Arabidopsis thaliana: one gene and its partners. The protein of the gene in region 3 interacts with the protein of the main gene of each other region in a pairwise test. Each region holds a gene or a part of one and is shown on either strand. Other genes may lie near its edges.

Region 1 (4,588 bases), on a different chromosome or scaffold from region 3:
TCGTACCTCTCATTTTCTCTTTCTCTGTCGGTTGAGATCTTTTGACATAAGGGAAGAAAAAAATATCGTATCTTCAGTGTTCTGCAAGAGATTCTAATGGTCTGACTTCGTCTATGTGGACCCAAATATCTCCATATACATACCAAATGCTATGTTATGTCACGTACATGTCTCGATATTCGTATTGGCTAACATTTACTTATTACATATGCAAACAACACACGCTTGCTCCATCAATCATAACACCTTTCATTGCTTCTTTTTACTTTATACTTCTAACTAATCTTCTACTGTAATTAATAATCATCTTTACAAATCCCTTTCTTAAGTTCCAAGCAAAAGAAAGAAAACCCCAATTAAACAATTACAACTTTAATAAATGACGCTCTTGAAAATTAGTTTATGCACCATTCGTTATTATGATTCGATGGCCTTAAAATAGAACTCTGGATTTGGTGAAAAACAGATATGATGTAATCAAAATATATAACAATAAAGAATGATAGAACCTCTTATCTTTCCCCAAACTAATAATTGGACAATAATATTAGTAGATTTTCCATTATCCAGAATTCAGCTATAAATAGAAACTGAATAAAACAAAGGAAAGAAGAGCATGGGACCAACTCTTGAAAAGAACTTCCAAGTCCGTTCAACAATATAATAAAAACAAATCACCAAACCTATTATCTTTAGACTAATTAAACTCTAATGAGAACCAGCAGCAGGTCGTTGCCGTAGAGGCATGGCAGCCCACGGACTCATCGGACCCATCGGAGACGATGAATTCATCACAGGAGGAGCCACCGATGACGAAGATGACGTAACAGCGACTCGCTCGCAAGAAGGACACATTGTGAGAGTAGTGGGAGGTTTCATGTGCATGTATAAGTGTGGAGAAAGCTTTAAAGCCCTAAGCTCACTCACTTCCTTTTGCAATCTCCGATTCTCATCCGTTAGATTCTCGCAACATCTCTTAAGATATTCACAGTCTACTTCCGTTTGCTTCAGCTTCGTCCTATAAACACACACACAAACAGTCCAAAACATTAAAATCCGATATCCGGTTTAACTATCCGGGAAAGAGAAAACCCGAAGTACATTTGTTTCTTGTATTCGAAACTGGCGGTTATTGTTCTTGAACCGGAAAACTGAAAACACTTTAACCAAAATTTGACTCAAAAACAACATTGGCGGTTTTAATTCTTAAACCGGGAAAACTGAATAGCTTAAACCAAACCTCCTAATTTAAGACATGAGAGACCCATTAAAATCCTTTAGGATAATCTTATGGGTCATAAAATGGACCATTACACATATCACCATCATAGCAATAACTACTAATGTTTTATTTGTTGGACTATATAAAATTTACGAAAGTAACCCCTTAAAATAGAATAAAAATTTCTACCTTGCCCTTCGGTTTTGGAACCACACTTCAACTTGTCTCGTCCTCAGATTCAATTGCTTAGCCAAAGCCATCTTTTGCTTCTGCATCCAACAACAACAAAAAAAGTCAATGAAAAACATATAAAAAGTCAACCTATTGAAGAAAACTACGGAAATGCCACTGACCGGATTGAGTGTACTATGTTCTTTAAAAGTTTCTTCAAGAACCAAAGCTTGTTCTTTAGACAATCGGAGTTTCTTCCTCGAACTGTCATCTCCGTTCCCGCTACCGTCTTCATCGTCGCTACCACCGCCGAGCGAGCAAGAAGCTCTCTCAATCTCATTATCTTCTACTCTACCTCCTCCAACTGCACCTGCCGCAGCCATTAGCTCTCGCTCGCTCTTCTTCCCGCTCATCACGCTTGAGACGGTGCTGTTCGGAGACGAAACTCCGGCGCCTTCATCCTCCACGTCAACCACCACCGTCGATGGAGCTCTGTTCACGTCTATTCCCCGGAGAAACGATCTCATGTCCGAGTTTCTCTCTGCACGTTACGTTAATCACGCCAAATGATTAAAAATCACAAACATATCAAGAAAATTTTATCTATTATAGGATAAAGTGTAATAAAAAGATCGGATCTAAAACAAAGAAACCTATAATCTTAGACATGAATCTGGATTAGTAAAAGGAGGTAAATACCTGATGACTGAAACATGTTAATCCAAGTGTTCTGAATCTTTTGAGGATGGTTATAATTGCTCTGCTGCATATGCTGCATGTGTGATGAAGATGCATAAGAAGCCAGAGGCATTGGATTTAACCTCGAAGACGGGTCCTTTTGATTAAAACCTAAACTCAAGCTCAAACTTAGCCCCAATCCATCATCTCTTTCACTCATTTTTCTCAACCCCAGAAAGAAGAAAGAAGAATTCTGTCTGGGTGCTCAAGATTTTTAAGCGAGGAAATGAATAAATGACTCTTTCTCTCTCTCTTTCTTAAAGATGTTGTGCCACTGCCTCTACACTTGTGCAGCAGTACAGTTTCAAAAGATATGGCTTATATTTATTTATATATGCAAAAGAGTTTTTTCAGACAAAGAGATATGGGGTTGTGGGGAGGCTTAGGGTTTCAATGATGACTTGTGTCAGAGAGACCTCTGTTACCTCAATGATGATATATACTGCATAAAAACCTGCTTCCTTCTCTCTTTATTTTAACTTAACCATGGTTAAAATTAAAACCAGGAGTTATTACTTTCACCTCACATCCCTTTTCAACCATGGTTAATTGATTTATTATAAGAAAAAAAAAAGTCCAAGTCTCTTGTTCTTTCTCTATCATTTTCCGTTTGGTATATTGTAAGTTGTCACTATTCTTAATTACAAAATAACCTATGAGCGTTTTTCAAATATTATATTAGATTCTTATACATATGATAAACTCATTCACCCAAATCCATTCATGTGAGGTTTTACTAAATATAGATAAAAGCTGAGTTTCTACTTTAAAAGATACTAAAGATTAGTAGTTGACAATATAATTGAGTAGAGATTTTGTGTACCCGAGTTTCAAAGTAAAGAAAATGTAAAAGAAGCTCTTTTTCAAAAACACACAAACAAGCATAATTGGCTTTTTGTAATGTGGCTTTCATTACGAAAGCGGCTTTCTCGCTCGTTGACCGTTGACTGATTGAGAGGATTAAAAAAGCAGCGACCAGACGGTAAAATCCACGCGCTCGTGAGGGTGATCAAATAATGATATCATATCATAATAATTAATAAATCATCATCATCATCAGTATCATTATGAACATCATCATCATATCATGCCTTATTGTTATCATCATAACTTTACTTCTCCCTCTGACCATTGGGGTCCTACGTATCTCAAAAATAATGCAGCTTCGCTTTAATATTAGTACTCTTAAAGCATAATTTGTAGTACTGTATATCAAACCATATAATTGTACTTCCCATTTTAACATGGAATTATATCCTTAAAACAAATCTCACCCACTCTCCAAATTCACCATCACTTGTTAACTTGTTGGTTAGAAAAGGTTCTTTAAGTTAGCTTTATGGTGAATATGTTTCATCATTGGCATTCGATTATGACAACTATTTTTTTTTTTTTGAGAAAAGATCAGCTAAATTATGTTTTTCTTAGTAGTTTTAAACCATTCTATAACCTTTATTGGGTAAAATTATATAACCTAGTTACAAACCAAACTTTCTTAAAGAATGAAATGAATTATTATTCTTCAATGGGTTATTGTTAAAATGTGATTATGAGGATGTTGGAATAATAGGTAAGCGTGAAAGAATAGATACGCGCGAATGGGCGAGTGTGAGGTGGGGGGAGAATAAGGCGGTGGGCTCAAAATGGGTATGGAATCAGGAGGGGGCAGAGATACGGTGTCGTATAGATAGGTTACAGAGAACCTAAAAGCCCTAAACACTGCATGGATTTTGAGTTGTCTGCGAATCCAACATGCATTCCCATTCCATGCCTCCCTCCTTCATTTATTGTTCCTTTTTCCCAATGTGATACCAAAAGATAATTAACTTTCTCATTAATTTCATCTGTCAGTCAAACATAAATAAAAACGCACGACAAGTGGTGTTGGCTGATTTTTATGACTAATAAGAGAGTAATTAAATTACTATTTAATTAATGATGACTCCATATATGTTATTGATATTGCCATCATTACTTCTGCCTTCAGTCTCTTCAAAACTTTCAGCAGTTACACAGACAAGACAGGTCAGCTCTATTTATTTAATTTCCTGCTCGTGTTTAATTTATATGTTTGATTTTACATTTACACAGGAAACAATCTAAACATAACCCTTCTTCTCATTTATTTTCTCCATTAATAACACTGTTACTTAGATTTTTAGAAAACACCAAAAAAAAAAGCATTTGTGAAAATAGAAAGACAAAATATATTTGATCAAGTTTTCCTTTTATTATTAACACACTTATTCAACGCAAAAAAAAAAAAAACATAGCCAAAGTTTATTTGTTTTACCTCTTTGTTATACGAGAGACTTTCAAGCTCTGAAGTCTATGGAAATTCAAGTTTTGTTTGTATTTTATGGAATGTAAAAATTGTAGTAGATTTTTTGTTGACAATTTGTATTGTTATACAAAATAAAATAAATTATTTTTATCGACCGAATAGATATATTGTGG
Region 2 (5,354 bases), on a different chromosome or scaffold from region 3:
ATTTTAAGTAATTTAGTCCAAAAAAAAAGAAAAATCTATTATGAGAATTATGCTAAAAATAGTTTTTTCTTATCTAAAGCTCCTATATTTGACTATCAACCAAGGATTCAAAGTTTTACTAATTAGGACAAAGTCTTTGAAAACATTTCGTAGATTAGAGTGCTTTTTTTAGAAAAAATATTCTTCGGTGAGATTTTTCAGTAGAATAGATTGGTCAATATTAATTTATATAATCCCAATATATATAACTAAACCCTTTAAAGAAAAAAAAACATTCTAGATGATACTACGATAATTTACCAATTTAGTACTTTTTATTTCTTTTTATCTGTTTATTAGTTAAAATAACTTTTGTTGTTTAAACAAATTATGTCACTTAAACGCAAAATTCAATTTCGTTTTCTCTGTTTGTTTTCCTAATTAAACTTTTAGTAGAGTATATGAAGTACGTAATTAACCATTTTCCAATATTAGTCAAGTGACTTTGACTTTTTTGAATAAATAATCTTCTAGATGATTACAGTTTAGTCCCAAATTAGTAAAAATTTCAAGGGTGATTTAAATAAATAACATGTTAATTTATCTGATATCACTGTATTTCAATAAAATGTGCCGTTTTGTATTTCTTTTGCTTATGACATGTTAAAACAGTAAAATATTGCAGTTAATCAAAAACAATAGTCTTTCATGTATTAATTCAATTTTACTCGAGTACAAAAAAGTATTAATCAAAACATATGCATTTCCATTAACTAGTTAAAATGACCCCGACTTTTGTCTATAGAAATATAATTTTATGATTGATTGACGAGGATTTTGTTATAGGTTGTGTTAGTGTTTTCGTTATGTTATAGTGGATAGTCCACATTGTTGACACAAATTATATGATTATTAAAATTCTAATTTATGTATGATTTAAACAAACAACATGTTAATTTATCTGATAGTAAGTGTTACTATCAGAAAACACGAAACTTTACACCTTAATATATAATACGTGTTTGCTAATTTACCCAATAACAACTTATCTTACTAAATATAGAATTTTGCTAGGATACGAAAACGTATTTTAATGGTACATTTTCTCCAATTTACTATATTTTCTATCATAATACGTCAAGTAATTCTTTAAGAGAAGAATCAACCTAATTTTTTAAGAATATCAGCAAACCGCAAGAAGTGGCTTTAAGGAAAAAAACAACTTCTTTAATAAATCATACCTCTTCGTTGACAAAAAAAAAAGAAAAAAAAAGCACACAACTCCCTCTCGTAAGCAACAGTTGATTAGTTTTACTCTTTTCGAATTGCTTGATCCAACAACACGTCTGTAATATAAAACAAATTGTTGGGTCGTATGATATATTTGTTAACTTTGGACAAAAAAATGACATGTTTGTTAATAATATAGGTCTATGACGTCGACACTGACGAAAAACGAACCAAAACAAATCTTCACAAATATCTTTCCACGAGAATCTAAGATTTAAACCGATATTATTATGTAGAAGCAGACATAAAACAAATATAGACAACAATATTGTCTTTATATAACAATATTGCTTATTAAAAAAAAAAAGAGAGTTATAAATAATATTAGTAGAAAAAATTGACAATATCTGAGTCCACGTCAAAACCCTTTTTGTAGCCGAAGCATCTGGTTCTCTATCCTCGTCTCTAACCACATACTAGACAAAGTATCTCTCATATCTCTCTCTTCTAAGATATCTTCTTCTTCACCTCTCTATATATGGATGATTAGATATGGTACGGAACAATCACTCACACACAAAACACACTCTAGATATAAAGGATTAGATACGTAACATATCCTTTTTTTGGTTACTAGGGTTTCGGAAATTTGGATATCAAATTTTAACATCAAGCAAATCATCATCCGTACGTACTCATTCATACTTTTGTAACAAAAAAAAAAAACAATCTAAGATATCTATCAAGATCTTAAGATATCTACATTTATAGAGATGTTTCGTTTTCCGGTAAGTCTTGGAGGAGGTCCACGTGAGAATCTGAAGCCATCAGATGAGCAGCATCAACGTGCGGTGGTGAATGAGGTTGACTTTTTCCGATCAGCGGAGAAGAGAGATAGGGTTTCACGTGAAGAACAAAACATTATCGCCGATGAGACTCATAGGGTTCATGTCAAAAGGGAGAATTCACGTGTTGATGATCATGACGATCGTTCTACTGATCACATCAATGTAAGCAGATGGTTAACTCATCGCTTTTGTTTTCTTTGTTTTTTTTTTATTATCTAGAAGTTCAAGCTAAAAATTCTACATTTCCGATATGCGAAACCCACATTAGATTAAATTCATTTTTTTTGGAGAAGAGATCGTTCCCAACGTGCATCAAACCCAGTACATCCACATGAGAAATTTACCACTGGACCAACAGCTCGTTGGTTACTTCATTGTTTTCCTTTTCGTCAATATCATTTAATTACTTCGGATTTTAGTTAGTAATATTATAAAACAATAATTTCGTTATATAGATGAAAACTTTGTTCATTGAAATGTGTATGATTATTGTAAATAGATTGGACTTAATCTTCTCACTGCGAATACGGGAAGCGACGAGTCAATGGTGGATGATGGATTGTCTGTGGATATGGAAGAGAAACGTACAAAGTGTGAGGTACACTTATTATTCAATTAGTATAGATCATTTTTGAGTAATAATAACAAAAAAAAGACACAACTAGTGTATTTATCGCACGAACCAAAGAAAAAGAGATTGTCAAAATCCAACAAATAAAAAATGATTGTCAAAAACCATCAAGAGTGTATATTTTTGTGCGTCTGTTACGTACGTAAACAATTTTCCGCTTTTCTGATTCGTCAGAATTTTAAATAATATCTGATGACAAAAAAAATAAAAATATTTTTATGCTAAATTTTGATTATTTTTACTGTTCATCTTCATTTTGTCACATAATTAAGCATAAAAAGATATTTTCTGATTTTCTCTACAAATTTTTTATTTCTTAAGAATTAGTAAAAATATACCGTTTTCGTAGACTTAGACATTCTATTTTTATATGTTGTTCGTATCGGTCCGTAAGATCCGGACATGTTAGAGAGATTTACTCTTTCTTACTAGAATGATTTAATGTCTGATACATGATTTTTTTGTTTTTTAATAAAATGAAGAATGCACAACTTCGCGAAGAGCTAAAGAAGGCGAGTGAAGATAATCAAAGACTAAAGCAAATGCTAAGTCAAACAACCAACAACTTCAATTCCTTGCAGATGCAACTTGTTGCTGTCATGAGGCAACAAGAAGATCATCATCACCTAGTAATTAATTAACACTCTAATACGTCTTAATCATTTATTTCATATAATTAGTTAAAGATTTTATACCCTTGTTTTTCATCAGGCTACGACCGAGAACAATGACAATGTAAAGAACCGACATGAAGTGCCTGAAATGGTTCCAAGACAGTTCATCGATTTGGGACCGCATTCTGACGAAGTGTCGTCCGAGGAGAGGACGACGGTTCGGTCGGGATCTCCTCCCTCGCTTCTAGAGAAATCTAGCTCACGTCAAAACGGAAAGAGAGTGCTTGTAAGAGAAGAAAGCCCGGAAACCGAATCCAACGGCTGGAGAAACCCTAACAAAGTTCCTAAACACCATGCATCATCCAGCATTTGCGGTGGCAATGGCAGTGAAAATGCAAGTAGCAAGGTCATTGAGCAAGCGGCCGCCGAAGCCACCATGCGTAAAGCCCGTGTCTCGGTTCGTGCTCGATCCGAAGCTCCCATGGTAATACTAATTAATCTTCCTCTCTAGAATTTCTATGAAGATTGATCTCTACAAATGTTTTTGGAGGTTCATTAACATCAATGACATTGTTTTACAGTTAAGCGATGGATGTCAATGGAGAAAATACGGACAAAAAATGGCGAAAGGAAACCCGTGCCCTCGAGCTTATTACCGTTGCACAATGGCTGTTGGATGTCCTGTTCGCAAGCAAGTACGTTACCTAAACAATTCACACATCTAAAATTATGTTTGAAGGTGATCAATCAAGTGTAATAATTTAGAGAAAAAAAAAATAATGTATTGTAACAAACTCATGATGACCTAACAGGTGCAACGTTGCGCGGAAGATAGAACCATTCTCATAACAACCTACGAAGGAAACCATAACCATCCATTACCTCCTGCGGCTATGAACATGGCTTCAACTACAACAGCAGCCGCAAGCATGCTTCTCTCAGGCTCCACCATGTCGAACCAAGACGGTTTAATGAACCCAACAAATCTCTTGGCTCGAACCATATTACCGTGTTCCTCAAGCATGGCTACTATCTCAGCCTCTGCACCATTCCCAACCATTACATTAGACCTCACAGAGTCACCCAACGGGAACAATCCAACCAATAACCCGCTGATGCAATTCTCTCAACGGTCTGGTTTGGTGGAGTTGAACCAATCGGTTTTGCCTCATATGATGGGTCAGGCTTTGTACTACAACCAACAGTCTAAGTTTTCGGGTTTACATATGCCGTCTCAGCCGCTAAACGCTGGTGAGAGTGTTAGCGCCGCTACTGCCGCAATCGCCTCCAATCCCAACTTTGCCGCGGCTCTAGCTGCAGCCATAACTTCGATTATCAACGGTTCGAACAATCAGCAGAATGGGAACAACAATAACAGTAATGTTACAACGAGCAACGTTGACAATAGGCAATAACATTTTTTTATAAGTTTTAGTTAGGGACTTTTTATCGGTCGATTTTGTTTTGTTTTTCTTTTATTACATTATTTTTTAGTTACGGCTTTTTTTTGTTTTTTCTTTTCTTTCCCAAACAACAAGTATTGAGAGCAATTCCCCCCCCCCCCCCTCTTTTCCTTCTGTATGATCGACAATTGTGTTCAGAAATATAAAATTGCTTAATTTTTCCAGAAGCTATTAATTCTTATGAAGTCATCAAATGCGCATCTATGTGCCATTAATTATGATCAAACTCGATGTATTGTGCCTAAAACGGAAGCTCAACAAGCAAATGCTTTAGGCATTATAAATATATTATGATTTTAGGGCATCAAATTTAAGAAATCTCCTTACAGTGTAGCCGTTTGTGTAATATTTTATTGGTGGGTCAATAATATTTTTTGCTTTAGGGAGCCCAAACACTTAGACTCTGAACATCGGTACGATGTTTTATTTGTGGTGGATATATGGAACTGCTATTAACGTACTTACTCACTCTAAAATTAGTCGATGCTGACCTCAAGAGTTTGGCTTGTGAAAAGTTGATGACCAGACTAAATCGATATGTCACTTGTCAAGTGTGGCATTATTTTAAAGGTTGGTTAAATATATAATT
Region 3 (4,857 bases):
CAGTCCCGTGGTATATCTTATGGCAGCAACAAAGGTATATTTTCTGCTCTTGTTTGGTTTTCTTTGGTAAATCAGGTTTAATTGTGAATCTACCCCTTTTCCAACTTGTATTACGAGATTCTGATTCATATATGACTTATGGTTTGCGTATGTAATATTCAGATGATGAAGAAGCAGAGCAACTTTCTAAGGAAATCTCCAAGGACTGGAATACTGGTAATCCATATGATCTAGACAATTTTACTTTTTTTCTCCTTTCTTCTTTTCTTGTACGTCTATCTTCCTTGGTGTTTTCCTCCCCGAGTATTAGTGATTCCTGATATTCTCAAATTTGTAGTCTTTGAACGGAGCATAAACACCCTGTTCCTCACAGAAATGGTCCGCGGTTTGTCGCTGACCCTCAAGTACTTCTTTGATCCAAAAGTTACTGTGAGTGATATCTTTTCTAGTCTTCCAAACTTAGATTGAAAGAAATCTGTGTTACTGAAGCTCTTTCGTGTATGCAGATCAATTATCCATTTGAGAAGGGTCCTCTGAGCCCTCGCTTCCGTGGTGAACATGCTCTTCGAAGATATCCTACCGGGGAAGAACGCTGCATTGCCTGCAAACTCTGTGAAGCTGTGAGTTTTGAGATCGATATGAATCCTTCATTTAATTTAACGTTCTCTTTGTTCTGATATGGTACTCTGAGTCTATCAAATTCATCTTAGTAATTAGGAAAGCTATTTGAGTATGAGTAATATTTACTGTTTAGTCTCTAGAGTTCTGATGAAATGGTCATATTAGCTGACAATGATCTATTTAGTGTGTATAAAAGTTCACCACGGATTGTAATTCTTGTGAGGGATACTTGTCCTTTTCATCAGGTATGTCCAGCTCAAGCAATCACAATAGAGGCAGAAGAGAGGGAAGATGGAAGCCGCAGAACCACTAGGTCATCATCCCTTTAGTTCTCATTTATCAACCATCTGCTTTCTTTATTACCCTTTCATGATGATTTGAGCTGTATCGTACAGGTACGATATCGACATGACAAAATGCATCTACTGTGGTTTCTGCCAAGAAGCTTGCCCCGTTGATGCAATCGTTGAAGGACCTAACTTTGAATTCGCAACCGAGACACACGAGGTCTGTTTTTCACATTTTCTAGACCCTAATAATTTTCGAGGCATGCTTATTGAAATTTTTGTTATATTCTCTATGATAGGAACTTCTCTATGACAAAGAGAAGCTTCTTGAGAATGGAGATCGATGGGAGACAGAGATTGCTGAGAATCTGAGGTCGGAGAGTCTCTACCGCTGAACCATTCTACAACAGTCTCTGCTTCATTCAACTTGTTTTTCCCGGGGAAACATTTTCGTTGCTTCTGTTTGAAAATAAAGACGAGATCATATGCGTGTGAAAACTCTTTTGTAATCCAGATTTTGTGCTGTGTAATTGAATTGTTTGTAACCAACCTGACTTTGATTTTCGGTTCATGAGTTCCGGTTATTAGGTGTTTTCGGTTCGGAGAAAGAGCATTTAATTTGGTCAAAGACTGAAAACAGATAAGTCTTAAGCTACAAGGGTATATCTGTACATTAAGAAATATTTGATCGGACGGACAAGATCATGTCTTTTTTTTTTTTACGGCGGACGGACAGGATCATATGCTTATAGTTTATCCTAATCTGTCCGATCTAAACATAATGCTTGTCGATTTTTTCATTTATTTGCCTTTTGGTTGCGCCAATTATCGTATTCAGACAGCAAAATTAATATTTTAATGTGTATTTTTTGTTGAGTTACTATTTTAGAAAAACAACGAATCCCTAGAAAGGAAAGAAAAAAAAAAACAAAATCCCCAAATCGAGCGAGTCCAAAGAAAAATCCCAAATTCGACGAACCTACAAGCCCAGAACATCCCCCGATTTGGGAAAACCTGAATTCATTCGCTTTTGATTTGCCATCTTCTTTCTGGGATTTGTCTACTGCTTGATCCTAATTTCTGACCTCGCTTTTGGTTTGAGTTCACACGTGCCGCATCGGCTGTTCACCGGCTTTGTTTCATTGTGCAGACTCCAATCATCGTACAATCTGTAGCAACCGGTTGGTCTCCGTCAAATTTCTCCACTTTGTTGCCAAATTTTACTCCTTTTTGTATCAATTCAAAGATTGGGGGTGAATTTTTAGGGTTTATCATTTTGTTCATTTTTGGTAACTATTTTGGGGTTTAATTACTTCTTTAGTTGATACTATGATTGATACTATCTCCCAATTAATATGAGATCAAATTGTGACAATTTCAGTTCTCTGATTACACCAAGTTTTTTTAGCAGGACATTCTCTAAGGTGCTAAATCAGGAGATGAAATTTGGATACTGTGACTTCTGGAGGAGAGGAAAGTTATGCAGTGTTTGTTACTGTTAATTACCAGAAGAACTAGGACAAGGCGACGGAGACTGAAGAGGTAGCTATGAATGTTCAGGCTCACATGTCGGGGCAGGTTTCAAACCAAGGGACTATGTCCCAGCAAAATGGGAACTCCCAAATGCAGAATTTAGTTGGTGGTGGTTCAGCTCCTGCTACTGGTGCTGGTTTAGGACCTTCACGCGTTTCTCCCGTTGACAATGACATCTTGAAACTTCGGCAGGCTATGCGAATCAGGATGTAAGCCTTTGCTTTTCTCAAGCTTTTGACTTTGGTGTCTTCCCACCATTTTGCAGTTATATTTCCTTGCTCTTGTTATACGGCTATTTATTTTGGATTGGATTCAATATCTCCAGTTTATCGCCAATCAAATCCGTGTATTTCTCTTCTTTCTTTTCAGTTTCAATATCTTACAGCAAAAGCAACCATCTCCAGCTGATGAAGCATCAAAGGCTAAATATATGGATGTTGCTAGACGCTTAGAGGAGGGGCTGTTTAAAATTGCTAACACAAAGGTATTTATTTAATATACTTAAGGAAAGGATAGGCACGTATTTGGCATTTAAAATTTTGCCACTAGATCCAGCTTGTTGGCTAATGTCCTAACTTGAAATTTCTTGTTAACGTGCTACACTTCCATTTTGAATCGCAGGAAGATTACGTGAACCCGTCAACCCTTGAACCTCGGCTGGCAAGTCTAATCAAAGGCAGGCAGTTAAATAACTACAATCAGCGACACGCTAATTCTTCTTCGGTTGGAACAATGATACCCACTCCAGGATTACAACACAGTGGTGGGAATCCAAATTTGATGATTACTTCCTCAGGTGATGCTACAATGGCTGGAAGTAATAACATCACAACTAGTGCTATGAACACTGGAAACCTGCTAAATTCTGGTGGCATGCTTGGAGGTTCTTTCACTACAACTTATATAAAATATGGGCATAAAATTTTCTGCGCATATTTTTTCTGAACACCTTTACTTCTCTTTGCAGGTAACCTGTCTAATGGATACCAACATTCATCGAGTAACTTTGGTCTTGGGTCTGGAGGGAACATGTCATCCATGAGCTCCCAGAGAAATACCGGCCAGATGATGCCTACCCCTGGATTTGTCAACAGTAGTACTAATAACAACAGCAATAATGGCCAGTCTTACTTGAGTGTTGAAGCTTCCAACAATAGTGGTGGATTTTCTACTGCTCCCATGATGGTACCTCAGACTCAGCAACAGCAACTGAGGCAGGATATTGGTGGCCAAAATAGTCGTATGCTGCAAAACCATGGAAGTCAAATGGGTGTTGGCCTTAGACCTGGAATGCAACAAAAATTGTCTAATGTGTCTAACAGCTCCATAAATGGTGGTGTTGGAATGAATGCAAAAAGCGTAGATTCAGGTACATCCTACACCAATCCTATCAGAAATTCACAGCAGGCTTATGATAATCTTCAGCGTTCAGGAATGCAGGGTAAAGTCTTTATTTCCCATCCCTAAATTGTAGTTTCTAACCTCTTGTTGTTGTGCGTATTCATCAGAATATTTTAATTGTTATGTTATTTTACCGTTTCAGGTGATGGATATGGCACAAACAACTCTGACCCATTCGGATCGGGAAATTTGTATGGTGCTGTAACATCTGTTGGGATGATGACAAATACTCAGAATGCCAATACAGCAAGTTTCCAGGCTGTGTCTAGAACTAGCTCTTCTTTGGTAAGCAATCCATGGAATTCACTTTGCATGCAGCAAAGTGCACCAGTGAAACATCAATCTGAGAATACCGATTTGTAATCATCTTTCGTACCTTTTTTGCAGTCACATCAACAGCAGCAGTTTCAGCAACAGCCTAATCGGTTTCAGCAACAACCTAATCAATTTCACCAACAGCAGCAGCAGTTTCTTCATCAACAGCAATTGAAGCAGCAAAGCCAGCAGCAACAGAGATTTATAAGTCACGATGCTTTTGGGCAAAATAATGTGGCTTCTGATATGGTTACTCACGTTAAACATGAACCTGGAATGGAGAACCCTAGCGAGTCTATCCACTCCCAAACTCCTGAGCAATTTCAGCTTTCTCAGTTTCAGAATCAATACCAGAACAATGCAGAAGACCGTCATGCAGGTTCTCAGATTCTCCCTGTCACAAGTCAGAGTGATATGTGCACATCAGTTCCTCAAAATAGCCAACAGATACAGCAGATGTTGCACCCGCATAGTATGGCTTCAGACTCTGTCAACGGTTTTAGCAACCTCTCTGTTGGAGTGAAAACAGAATCTGGGATGCGTGGTCACTGGCAATCTCAGTCACAGGAACATACTCAAATGTCTAATAGTATGTCGAACGAACGGCACATTCAGGAGGATTTCCGACAAAGAATGTCTGGAACGGATGAAGCTCAGCCCAATAATATGTCTGGAGGCTCAATTATAGGTCAAAATCGTG

The links.
Region 1: the proteins of HAC1 (region 3) and HAT3 interact in a two-hybrid assay, tested with the Arabidopsis thaliana proteins (one large-scale study listed by BioGRID).
Region 2: the proteins of HAC1 (region 3) and WRKY42 interact in a two-hybrid assay, tested with the Arabidopsis thaliana proteins (one large-scale study listed by BioGRID).

The regions. Positions count from the first base shown.
Region 1 is NC_003074.8:22,320,080-22,324,667, forward strand, and holds HAT3 (homeobox-leucine zipper protein 3), read right to left. Parts: upstream 2,583-4,588; 5' UTR 2,292-2,582; coding exon 2,093-2,291; intron 1,935-2,092; coding exon 1,576-1,934; intron 1,492-1,575; coding exon 1,412-1,491; intron 1,019-1,411; coding exon 709-1,018; 3' UTR 501-708; downstream 1-500. UniProt on the Arabidopsis thaliana protein: Probable transcription factor.
Region 2 is NC_003075.7:2,216,397-2,221,750, forward strand, and holds WRKY42 (WRKY family transcription factor), read left to right. Parts: upstream 1-1,645; 5' UTR 1,646-1,982; coding exon 1,983-2,219; exon of another isoform or gene 2,220-2,556; coding exon 2,557-2,655; intron 2,656-3,170; coding exon 3,171-3,317; intron 3,318-3,399; coding exon 3,400-3,786; intron 3,787-3,883; coding exon 3,884-3,997; intron 3,998-4,114; coding exon 4,115-4,717; 3' UTR 4,718-4,854; downstream 4,855-5,354. UniProt on the Arabidopsis thaliana protein: Transcription factor. Interacts specifically with the W box (5'-(T)TGAC[CT]-3'), a frequently occurring elicitor-responsive cis-acting element. Modulates phosphate homeostasis and Pi translocation by regulating PHO1 expression.
Region 3 is NC_003070.9:29,721,584-29,726,440, reverse strand, and holds the start of HAC1 (histone acetyltransferase of the CBP family 1), read left to right. Parts: upstream 1-1,805; 5' UTR 1,806-2,089; intron 2,090-2,316; exon of another isoform or gene 2,317-2,319; 5' UTR 2,320-2,456; coding exon 2,457-2,650; intron 2,651-2,810; coding exon 2,811-2,925; intron 2,926-3,062; coding exon 3,063-3,324; intron 3,325-3,408; coding exon 3,409-3,882; intron 3,883-3,984; coding exon 3,985-4,127; intron 4,128-4,229; coding exon 4,230-4,857. Other genes in the region: AT1G79010 (Alpha-helical ferredoxin), read left to right, coding at 1-34, 163-216, 338-429, 507-620, 867-934, 1,017-1,128, 1,208-1,303. UniProt on the Arabidopsis thaliana protein: Acetyltransferase enzyme. Acetylates histones, giving a specific tag for transcriptional activation.